2 linked regions of the Arabidopsis thaliana genome follow. The protein of the gene in region 1 interacts with the protein of each later gene in a pairwise test. Each region holds a gene or a part of one and is shown on either strand. Other genes may lie near its edges.

Region 1 (6,131 bases):
AGTTATTGTATTTTTAGTGAGTCTTGTTGTATTAATGCTCTAAGAAAAAAGTTTTCTCCAGAATAAACAATCAAGGAGCAAATATTTCAGCGCCAATAAATATAGTAGCCTTTAGGATGGTCCAAATCTGGTAAAATATATCCTTAGCTAAAATGTTGATCTAACTAAAGAGATTTATATGTCAATTTCCAACCAAAAGATTTAGGCCCTGAATGGATGCTGATTTTCGATTCAGTTTTTGGATTTTGATTTTAGTTTCTAGATTTTAGATTTTAGTTTTAGATTTTTGTTAATATATTTTTGTTTTAAAAACTTCAAAAAATTAGTTTTTAGTTTTTGAGAAAAATAACGTTGATGGAGTAAAAACTAGATTCCCTAAATTTTAGAAAAACTAAAAAACTAAAATCATGAATGGAAAATTACAACAAAATAGTTTTTCAAATTGTAGGGAAACCAAAATTTTAAAATCTTGATTGTTATGAAAATAAGTTTTTGAAAAACAAAATCCAAAAACTCTTACAAAATCTACAAAACATTCAAGACCTTATTCTTCTCAGGTTTATATCTTAAACAAAACAAAATCCAAAATGCTATTTAACAAAACAAACAAACAAGTTCTCTTTTGAAATTAATTATTTATATGATATTAATTTCCAAATAAAACCTGAAAAGTTATCATAATCAGATATACATTTTTAATGTGGAAAAATCACGTAATAACATTATAAATATATATATGTAAACTAATATTGTGAAATCTAAGACTCTGTATATATAGTACTGACTACTGAACAAGTATATAAATTTTATGTTTATAATTATAAAACGAATCATTAAAGATATCAAATCTGAATCTCAAATAACTAACCCAAAATCATGATATCTATATAAATATATTCAAATGACCTTGCACGACGGTCTACACTGAGCTTGTTGACGATGACAGATTCAGAAATTCTGATTATTAGTTTAGAAAAAAAAAACTATAGTATTATTATTAACTATTTTAAATTTTTAAGAAAAAGGCAAAATAAATGACGAGTTTAAGACTTTGGTAGTTAGCTCCGGTTTCAATGAATGGTCCAAGTTGGAGAGATTAGGTTCTTTTTCTTCCCTATGTGGGTCCCATTCTTCCTTGTGTGGGTCCCACTCTCTTTAACGTTTCTTCACCGTCCTTTAGTGCCACCGTTATGCCGTGCCGTCAACTCCGTTGACTTCAGGACAACGCTGCTCGTCTTTTACTGAGTCTCACTCACGTCGTCTTTCTCCGTCAACTTTCTTACTAACGGCCACTTAACGGAAATCCGTCACTGTTAACAATTAAATTAATTCCGCTCGACATTTATCGCCGATTTACACGTCACTTTTTTCTATCTTACCCTGGTTATTTAACACGTGTACATTTATGACGCTATATATCGAGGAATTTATCCATCTCAAGGCATTTTCTCAATTATATTCTGGCTGCAAGTATCCAAATTTTATACCAGTTCTAAACAAAATTAGAAAGAAAACAAAATAACAATAAAGACATACTTATAATATTGAGATCAAATCTGACATTTAAGAACCACTCAAGATCTTCCTATTTTAAAAGGCAAAAGAAAGAGTCAGACTGATACTTATCATAAATAATTTTCAACATATATATCAAATGTTTGAGCACATAAAATATAAATATCAAATATAAATTTTAAATGCAACGCTGTAAATTTTCGTTTTATGTATGTCATAAGAATTGATTAGATAAAATTGGCATTTTCGCATAATTTACGTAATTAGTATAAACTAAATCATTATGCAATTTCGGAAATTACCAACCTTCTAATATAATATTCCCAACAGTTGCTTGGTCATTTATTTGTATGTGTAACATTTGACAAAAGAGTGATTTCTCGTTGAAAATGGAAACCTTTAGCTAAGACTTTACACAACTTATCCTCATAAATTTAGTCTTTATATAAAGGGACTCTCTTTTTTTTCTTTTTCTTCTCTCTATCTCTATCTATCTCTCTTTGTCTGCAAATGGAAGAACATATTCAAGATCGCCGTGAAATTGCGTTCTTACACTCAGGAGAATTTCTCCACGGAGATTCTGACTCAAAGGATCATCAACCGAACGAGTCTCCGGTGGAACGTCATCACGAGTCGTCTATCAAAGAAGTTGATTTCTTCGCTGCTAAAAGTCAGCCGTTTGATCTTGGTCATGTGAGAACAACGACGATCGTTGGATCATCTGGTTTTAATGTAAGTTTTTAAATTATAGATATGAATACAAATATATGTTTGGACGTTATAACTTAATTACATAAAATTCATGGCATAATAGGATGGATTAGGTTTGGTAAATTCATGTCATGGAACATCAAGCAATGATGGCGATGACAAAACCAAAACTCAAGTAAGTATTTCTAAATTGTTATTTTTTCTCTTTGATAGAATTTCAGAGTATCCTGTGGTAACATAATTTCAGTGTTTGTATTAAGAATAATTCACTTATATACAAACTATTTGTATTTGTTACTTAAAAAAAAAACTATTTGTATTTGTCAACAAAATAATCGGATGGTAATTTTTGTTGTGTGGACACACACACACACTTGATTACCCGATCATGTGAGTTTATCTAAATGCGCATATTCATTTATGTATATACACATATTTAATTCTTTTCTTTTTTGTAATCTTTAATTTAGTTCCGTATATAAAACTGTAGGTTGTTTTTAATGAAAAAAAAAATTGTTTGATTTATACTTTTATAGTTACGGTTATGATTATTAAACAATTTGCAGATTAGTAGACTGAAGTTGGAGCTAGAGAGGCTTCACGAGGAGAATCACAAACTGAAGCATTTATTAGATGAGGTCAGTGAGAGTTACAACGACCTCCAAAGAAGAGTTTTGTTAGCAAGACAAACACAAGTGGAAGGTCTTCATCATAAACAACATGAGGTACTTGATAAAATCATAAAAATGATAATAAAATATATATCAACATTTCGGTTTATTAAAAAATAAATTGTATATTTGTCTTTTTTATGTGGCACCGAGATTAGCTTAGGTTTTAGTGTTCGATTTATCTGGTTTTGAAAATTTAAAGTGATCTATTAGTTTTGTTTTTCTCGAAAGCAATTAAAATTTTAAAACTATGTGTAATATGCGTAAATAATGGATGTAGTTTAGTTATGTAATGAATTCATAATTTTCATCTTAAATGCCCAGATTGAAAGTCATAAGACGAATAAATACGTGCAGCTTTTATTTGATAAAATATGAAGAAGATGAAATAAATAGCTAGCCAATGACTTGGTCAAGAAAAAAATGTTTCATAACTTAATATTAAATGGAAAATCAAATTTCGGACTAAGATATTTCAAACTAGAAAAAACCTTTTGTTTTCAGAAGCTACAAACGATAAGTTATTTGTTTATAGTTAGGTATGTTCCTGTATATGCATCATATTTTGTTTGTCCACAATCTGTAGATGCATCATATATGAGTCTTTGCCTTAGAATTTTAATAGTTTAATACGTCCATATGTGAATGCATATGTGGTAGGTTATCAAATGTCTATTATTATGTGTGTGTTTATATTTATTATCTTGTCTTTGGGTCTATCGGTACTATATATATTATGAGGTTACTTGATCAAATTAATTACCGATACTACGGTATGATTTTGGGTAAATTTCAACGTCTTTTTCTTTCAATTTTCTTATAAAACTGACACATCTTTCTTGCAAATTTTTGTTTGGCAAAAAGGATGTACCTCAAGCTGGTTCCTCACAAGCTCTAGAGAACAGAAGACCAAAGGATATGAACCATGAAACTCCGGCCACCACCTTGAAACGACGGTCTCCAGACGACGTGGATGGTCGTGATATGCACCGAGGATCACCAAAAACTCCTCGAATAGACCAAAACAAGAGTACTAATCATGAAGAACAACAAAACCCTCATGATCAATTACCCTATAGAAAAGCTAGGGTTTCCGTTAGAGCTAGATCTGATGCCACTACGGTAACTTTCTATAAGTTACTAATTTTTTTGATTCGTTTAACCTTACATATATATATGAGTTATGAAAATTGAATCAATATTAATATATAATATAGGTAAATGACGGATGTCAATGGAGAAAATACGGTCAGAAAATGGCGAAAGGGAATCCATGTCCTCGCGCTTATTATCGTTGCACCATGGCCGTTGGATGTCCTGTCCGTAAACAGGTTAGTATAACTATATATATGAGAAAATGTTATCATAATTATAGAAAAAAAAATTTGGTATTAGAATTTTGTATTGATTAACGTATATAGTATTGGTTCTTTTCGTCAACATGTAGCTTTGAATATAAAAATTGACATAATAACAACACTAATATAACCGATTATATTACGTATCCTTTAGAAGTATTGATTTAGAGCAATACCATAAAACCTTATTAAAGTCCTTCATACAACAGATTTAGAAAGTTTTAAGAAGAGTATAGAAAATAATTCTAAATTTAGAAAGGCTTTACTAAATCCCTTTCTAACAAAATCTTTTACTTATGAAAAACCAAAACTAGAATGCGACATATTTATTCTTAAAGAAAACTTTATTGTTTTACGTAACAAAATGATTTAAAATGTTTATTTGAATGTAAATAGGTCCAACGATGCGCGGAGGATACAACTATCTTGACAACAACGTACGAAGGAAACCATAACCATCCTCTTCCCCCGTCAGCCACAGCCATGGCTGCAACCACCTCCGCCGCAGCAGCCATGCTCTTATCAGGCTCCTCCTCCAGCAACCTCCACCAAACACTCTCTAGCCCCTCCGCCACGTCATCATCATCCTTCTACCATAACTTCCCATACACCTCCACAATCGCAACACTCTCTGCCTCAGCTCCTTTCCCCACCATAACCTTAGACCTCACCAACCCACCTCGACCGCTACAACCGCCACCGCAGTTTCTAAGCCAGTATGGTCCCGCCGCGTTTTTACCAAACGCTAATCAAATTAGGTCTATGAATAATAATAACCAGCAGTTATTAATACCTAATTTGTTTGGCCCACAAGCCCCACCACGTGAAATGGTCGATTCAGTTAGGGCTGCGATTGCGATGGATCCGAACTTCACGGCGGCACTTGCGGCCGCGATCTCAAACATTATCGGAGGAGGTAATAACGACAACAATAATAATACTGATATTAATGATAACAAGGTTGATGCAAAAAGTGGAGGGAGTAGTAACGGAGATTCGCCACAGCTTCCTCAGTCTTGCACCACTTTCTCTACAAACTAATTTTACTACCATTATTATATGTTATCTTATTATATATTACACACACATATTATACATTATGCGTATCTTAAGTTTTTTTTTGGTGTACATTATATATGAATGATATGGAGATCACTGAGAGAGAGAGAGAGCTATTATAGGTTTTTTTTTTACAGGTTTACACGATTTTGGCTATCGTTTTTTTTTCTTCTATGTTAAGAACGAGGGGTGTAGGTTTTATTTTTCCTACTTCTTATGAATCATACTCTGTATATGTATACATCTTAAATATATATTATGTTAAAAAAGAACATGCATGCCTGTATGATATATTAATATATTACAATGTAACTATATAATATGACTATATGAGTAACATTTTTTGTTATATCTACTGAATAAGATATCATGAGAGGTATCAAATATAACAACGACAAGGATCAGTACTGTATTAGATTTATTGTTCGTTTCGCAGTTGTCAAAGACCATAACAATGATTGTTCGATTTTGTAGTTGTTAGCTCAATTATTATATATATATATATATATATATATATATATATATATATATATATATATATATATATATATATATGAAACAATTGTAGTAACTAAGCTGATTTCTTTTAGTATTTTAAATTTTAATTAGCGATGAATCAGTGAAATTTGTTATTGTCAACCACAACTAAATCGGTATGAGTATAACCTACCACAAGTTACTGTCAATGATTACTAAATATTTATAATTTAGTTGTTGATAGTTGTTGCCAATGATTACAAAGCGTACACGATATTGTGTATATGAACAAAATACAAAGAAACTAAAGAACAACAAGGTCGCTGATATATACCAAATC
Region 2 (6,087 bases), about 17 Mb from region 1:
TAGCTCTTATGGATTACAGATTCTATACATGTGTTAGATATTTGGTTTAGTCATTACAAAACATTTCTTAAGAAATAGGTCTTATATATATACACAGCAAAGATAAACACACACAATTACACAAAACAAATATTGTTAAAGGGGTTTTAAGAACCAAAATAAACAAAGATTGTGATAATTCTAGATTGTTTATGTTTTAGACTTGAAAAATATGGAAAACGTAGACAATAGGCTTGAAACGTAAAAGAAAGAGTGGTATAAACCCGTCGAACTAAAGATAATAATGATTATAATTGGTAAAATCGAAATGATTCGCTGATGATTGACACCTGGCGTGAATGAGACTGAATCTTTTATCTTAAGAGGACGATAATTGGGGATTTGGTCACTTGGAAGTTGGAAGCAACTTTAAGATTCTTTGTTAATAGAAAAAGAGCCAAATCTGAATTTGAGTTTGAGATTCGAGATGTGATTGGTTCGAAGCAGTCCAGCCCACGTGGTCTTAATAGATCTTTAATTATCATGTTATCTATCTGGGGCCCACCTAAATCTTATACATCAACGGTATAAAATCGAACTTGGTTATTAGGGTTTGAGCTTGGTTTAGTTCGGTTTAAAGGACATTTGCTACTTTTAAATCAAATTCAATTGATGGATACATTCGCGCTAGGGGTGGTGATTTATGGCAAGTTTGAGGGTTGGTCAAAGTTAAAGTTTAGACATTCAAAGAAACTAAAATAAACACACAAAAATAGTTAGTAATGAAGGATCAGGTGTACGGATTCTGCGGTGGAGCGTGCGAAGACTTCCATCAATTGGTGTTCTCAGGAGCTGTTCCTGCTTCTCCCACGTGTGCCTGTCACAAATGCATATTACATTTTAGATTGTATATTTGCAATATGCATAAGCTTGAAATATAAGTTACGGTTTATATATATATGGCCTTCTGAGTGAAAATATTCTATATATAAGTGAAAATTTTGTATAGCTCATTTCATTATGATATTGAACGCGAGTTGCTTTGAGTAGAAATCAAGCATTAAGCCATCGAAAGTAACAGACGTTATATAGTTATTTGATATTAAATTTCTTGCCATATTTGGAAACTTACGACAAAACAATTAATATGATGAATCTCCGCAACTCCAAGTCCCTGTCTGACACGTGTACTTGATATCGTTTAAAATCATTTATTAATTGACACAAAAATAATTTATTCATTTGTATTTCTACCGAAAGCCATATGGACTAATATATGTTGTACTAGATTAATACTGTATGTTTTTGTTCAATCCATTCTCTTACTTTTTTGGGTAAATATCTTTTGGACAGATCTAATTAATATAGTATAAGTTTTCCTATGACCATAATAAAGGGCCAGAATATTTTTAATTTTCTTTTAATCACCTCTAAAAGATACTAATTAAATTAAGTAAAGCAGCATATAAAGCAAGAGGGTTTTGTCAGAGAAACACAGTCCTGTGATGCGCCCATTCACTATTTTCACATGACATTTGAAATAAGACTTAAGAATAAATTATAAATAATGTACGGACATGTTAAAAAGGAAATATTATTGATAATGGAAATTTACCTAACTCACACTAAGTTTAATATTATTTCACTCCTTTTTATCTAAACAATTCCATTAAGTTTCCACTATCTCCCGTAATAAACAAACTATAAAAAAGAATCAGTGATTAAAGTTGTATATATGACACACATTTAAGCTATATCTATATATTCTCTTAACCTAGGAACTTTATAAGAACTTCTCTCTATTTCATTGGTTTGATAAAATCATACACACAAATACTAATTTTGGACTAGAAATTTAGTACTTTTCTATGTATTAAATCTACCCAAAAATGTCTCAAACTGAGAGGTGAGTGTGTATGTGTGTGTGTGCATATGCATATATATACTTAGTTTATTCCTCGAATAGATTGTTGACTCTTGGCTCAACCTTCCTCTCTCTCTATTTCTACCTTTCTCTTTCTCCTTATTCGTTCATCTTCATATTCCCTTCCCTTTTGGGCTTGGTAAGATCTACAAAAAAAAAAACCCTAAAAAAGAGAAGAACCAGAGGAGATTCAATTAGAGGATAAAATTGATGGGAAGAGGGAAGATTGTGATCCAAAGGATCGATGATTCAACGAGTAGACAAGTCACTTTCTCCAAACGAAGAAAGGGCCTTATCAAGAAAGCCAAAGAGCTAGCTATTCTCTGTGATGCCGAGGTCGGTCTCATCATCTTCTCTAGCACCGGAAAGCTCTATGACTTTGCAAGCTCCAGGTTCTTCTTTTAAAATTATTCATTCTGAAATCTTTATATCTTCTTGATTTTGTGGATGTACATCTACGGAGATGTTGTGTACCACTGTATGCATATAATTTTATGCTACGGTTTTGTTTATTAGAAGGCTTGGTGATATTCACTGAGATATATGTAGCTGTGGGATCTATTCAAATATAGTGGAATTTTTTCGCATCTGGCGGTCCGTAGAACATGTTACATTAATTTTCCCGTATGTACAATAAGATGTGTCTTGTATAGCCGACAAACAGTTTTCTTACAACAAAGAAAGATTAAAAATGAGGTAGAAGTTTTAAAGAAGAGTAATATTTTTGAAGCTGAAAAAATAATTTGAAGTAGTTTCTTTGCTTCATATTTGGGTGATTATATGTACCCATCATCAGTATGTTTTGAAGTACTTTCCTAACATATGTTTATGTGTATGGACATTGACTTATAACTAACTAAGGCTCATTGTTTGCATTTTCCAAATTTAGATATGTTTCAGAAATAGATGAGAAAACAAGTGTGAATGCCCAAACATCACTATTGGAAAGCTAAAAAAGAATTATAATTGGAGACCACGAGTTAGAAGATTGGTATGTAGAGGACTTAATTTCTCAAATCCAATAAACTGGAAGCTGATTTAGTTTAACCCACTAACAAAATGATCTATTTATACTCGTAAACATAAACATGTTTTTGATATTTATATATAATCATATATATTATTACTAAACGATCAGATTACTCTGTATATTTAACTTTATATCTGCAAAATCGTTATAATTGTCTATTTTCTGAGTAAGTTATTCTTTGTTAAAAGTTTGATTAATATAAAAAAAATATAGAGATAAAAAACTAATTATTAGAAAACATATATAAACATGTAATTCTAAATCATATAATATTTTGATTATATATTTTGAAAATTTATATAATTTCATATTTATCAATTAAAACAACCAAATAAAAGAGTATGGTAATGCGAATTTTTGTTTTTCCCTATTTTCCTTGAGGAATTTTATATTAGCATCAACCTTAAGCATTATTAATTCTTCACGTTTGTCTTTTGATAACATTTCTCATGTATCATAGGGTTTACGAACCTCTTGGTAAATGAAATTACTTAGCATATTTAGTCAAGTTTATATACCATTCTTAAAACTAACTAACACCATGTTATTGTTTGCTTGGATTTAAAATAAAGTGTGCCATGCTAATGCATTACATTTATGTCATTTTGTTTATAGCTTAGAACTGGATTCCTTTAAAGTTCTTGCTTATCTACACCCTAGAAATAACATTTAAGCATTTGTTTTTGTTACTTATTGAAAAAAGAAACTAACATCTACTTACTTTATATATAGTTTATCTAGTTTGTGTAACAAATTCGTATTACTGCTGAGTTCAAGATTATATACATTATGTGAAATGTATGTATGTGTACATATATAAGCGTGTGTAAATAATGTTGCCAATGCAGGAAAGTCTATATTGCACAAATTTCTAGGCTATGAGTTTTTTCTTTACGTATGAAAGCTTTTTAATGGAGTACTTGGAAAAACTTCACGATCGAAAATTAATATCTTTTACGTAATTTACTCTAAGAGATGATATGATATGAGTGAATTATATACCATGAACAAGGTATACTAATATTAAATATTTTGAATAGCATGAAGTCGGTTATTGATAGATACAACAAGAGCAAGATCGAGCAACAACAACTATTGAACCCCGCATCAGAAGTCAAGGTATACATATAGATATAGCGACAACTCTAAAGATATGTGATTATATATTGATTGATGCTTTAGCATGATGTTTGATTTTTGAAATGAGATTTTGGTTTACTGAGCTGTTCAAAGTTTGATGAGTTATTTGTGTTGTGTGTTACAGTTTTGGCAGAGAGAAGCTGCTGTTCTAAGACAAGAACTGCATGCTTTGCAAGAAAATCATCGGTATCGCCTTGAACTTTTATAACATTTTGTATTAAGAATTAGTCTTTGATCAAAATATAGAAGGCATGTAAAGGAAATGAAGAAACTTGTAGTTATGGATTGCGGTATGTTTGCTATGAAGCAGGCAAATGATGGGAGAACAGCTAAATGGTTTAAGTGTTAACGAGCTAAACAGTCTTGAGAATCAAATTGAGATAAGTTTGCGTGGAATTCGTATGAGAAAGGTACATAAATACATATACTCTACCTTCTATTATATGCTTTGGAGTGTATTACTCAAAAGATTGACTATAGAACACAACGGAAATCAATAGAACGATTGCTTTTCCGGATTCACAGGAACAACTGTTGACTCAAGAAATCCAAGAACTAAGCCAAAAGGTCACTATGATGAGATATATATATACACACACTGACACACACAAATATCCCCTACCAAAAGTTACAATTCTAATTTTGGGATTTTTGTTGATCGTGGTGCAGAGGAATCTTATTCATCAGGAAAACCTCGATTTATCTAGGAAAGTACAACGGATTCATCAAGAAAATGTGGAGCTCTACAAGAAGGTAACAAATCATGTTTTACAAAAACTCCATTTTCTTTGGAGTAAGAGCTTCGAAGTGATATGGCTTCGACTTTCAGGCTTATATGGCAAACACAAACGGGTTTACACACCGTGAAGTAGCTGTTGCGGATGATGAATCACACACTCAGATTCGGCTGCAACTAAGCCAGCCTGAACATTCCGATTATGACACTCCACCAAGAGCAAACGAATAACAGAGAGGTAAACTTTTTTAATTGATCTTGATGTTTCACAAACATGCATGCACCATTTAGGCATTTTATATATTTTATGTAACTCGTTAAAAACTTTCACAGATTGAAGTTGGAAGATACCATGATGTTGAAGAACACTCCAAAGGCCTTGGTTTGAATAAGGTTCTTGAACTGGAAACCTCTATACACCAAGCCACGTACGATAAGCAGCATGGTTCTTCTAACATAGTCATATTTTCAATCCTAAATATAATTAAAGCATATATAATTAAAATCCGGTGTTGTTATACTCATCTTGAGTATTAATATTGTACTTGTTTATAACCATAGATTCGTCAATTAATAGAGAAAAATCATATGAATTATTATCCTCAAAACTCTCTCAAATATCAATATTCTTAGATCAATAATTTGTTTAATATATATAACCATGCACTTGGTAATTCTAAAATGTTAAATAAACATTTTCTGTTAAGTTTTTTGTTTTGTTGGTTTTATTTTGTAAATTCACCATAATTCTGTTAATCTTATTCCCCCAAACTAACCGGTTTGGAAACTATATAAATTAAATTGATGTGTGATAACTGAATCGGTTATCGTTGACTGCACTGACCAGAAACCAATAAAGGTTCTGTCTTAAAGGGAAACAAATCATCGTCGTCACCAAATCATCACAATTCACAAAGGTTGGTGTAGACAGGGACCTGAGAGATAACGACAAAGAAACAACAAATATAAAATAAAAATCAGAAGAAAATATAAATAAAAAAAGAGGGAAAAAATTCGAAAATTTGCTGCAACCACCAAAAGCTCAGCCAAAAGCAGAGGCCACAATTCTCTCAAACAAGATAAACCCAATTTTGTTATTTTTGTTCTCTCTTCTCTCTCGTTCATGTTTCAAATCTGTTTCTAGGGTTTCACAAACCAGAGATAGAGAGAGGTTTAGCGAAAAATGGCGATGGCCATGGCTCTTCGAAGGCTTTCTTCTTCAATTGACAAACCCATTCGTCCTCTTATTCGATCCACTTCATGTTACATGGTAACAAC

The links.
Region 2: the proteins of WRKY47 (region 1) and AGL21 interact in binary tests that used the Arabidopsis thaliana proteins (3 or more experiments, as listed by UniProt).

The regions. Positions count from the first base shown.
Region 1 is NC_003075.7:742,924-749,054, forward strand, and holds WRKY47 (WRKY family transcription factor), read left to right. Parts: upstream 1-1,880; 5' UTR 1,881-2,025; coding exon 2,026-2,247; intron 2,248-2,329; coding exon 2,330-2,401; intron 2,402-2,792; coding exon 2,793-2,951; intron 2,952-3,761; coding exon 3,762-4,019; intron 4,020-4,114; coding exon 4,115-4,228; intron 4,229-4,651; coding exon 4,652-5,296; 3' UTR 5,297-5,631; downstream 5,632-6,131. UniProt on the Arabidopsis thaliana protein: Transcription factor. Interacts specifically with the W box (5'-(T)TGAC[CT]-3'), a frequently occurring elicitor-responsive cis-acting element.
Region 2 is NC_003075.7:17,834,648-17,840,734, reverse strand, and holds AGL21 (AGAMOUS-like 21), read left to right. Parts: upstream 1-1,765; 5' UTR 1,766-2,113; coding exon 2,114-2,295; intron 2,296-3,150; exon of another isoform or gene 3,151-3,973; coding exon 3,974-4,052; intron 4,053-4,197; coding exon 4,198-4,259; intron 4,260-4,383; coding exon 4,384-4,483; intron 4,484-4,573; coding exon of another isoform or gene 4,574-4,598; coding exon 4,599-4,640; intron 4,641-4,742; coding exon 4,743-4,826; intron 4,827-4,902; coding exon 4,903-5,040; 3' UTR 5,041-5,047; intron 5,048-5,142; 3' UTR 5,143-5,518; downstream 5,519-6,087. Other genes in the region: SHM1 (serine transhydroxymethyltransferase 1), read left to right, coding at 5,993-6,079. UniProt on the Arabidopsis thaliana protein: Probable transcription factor.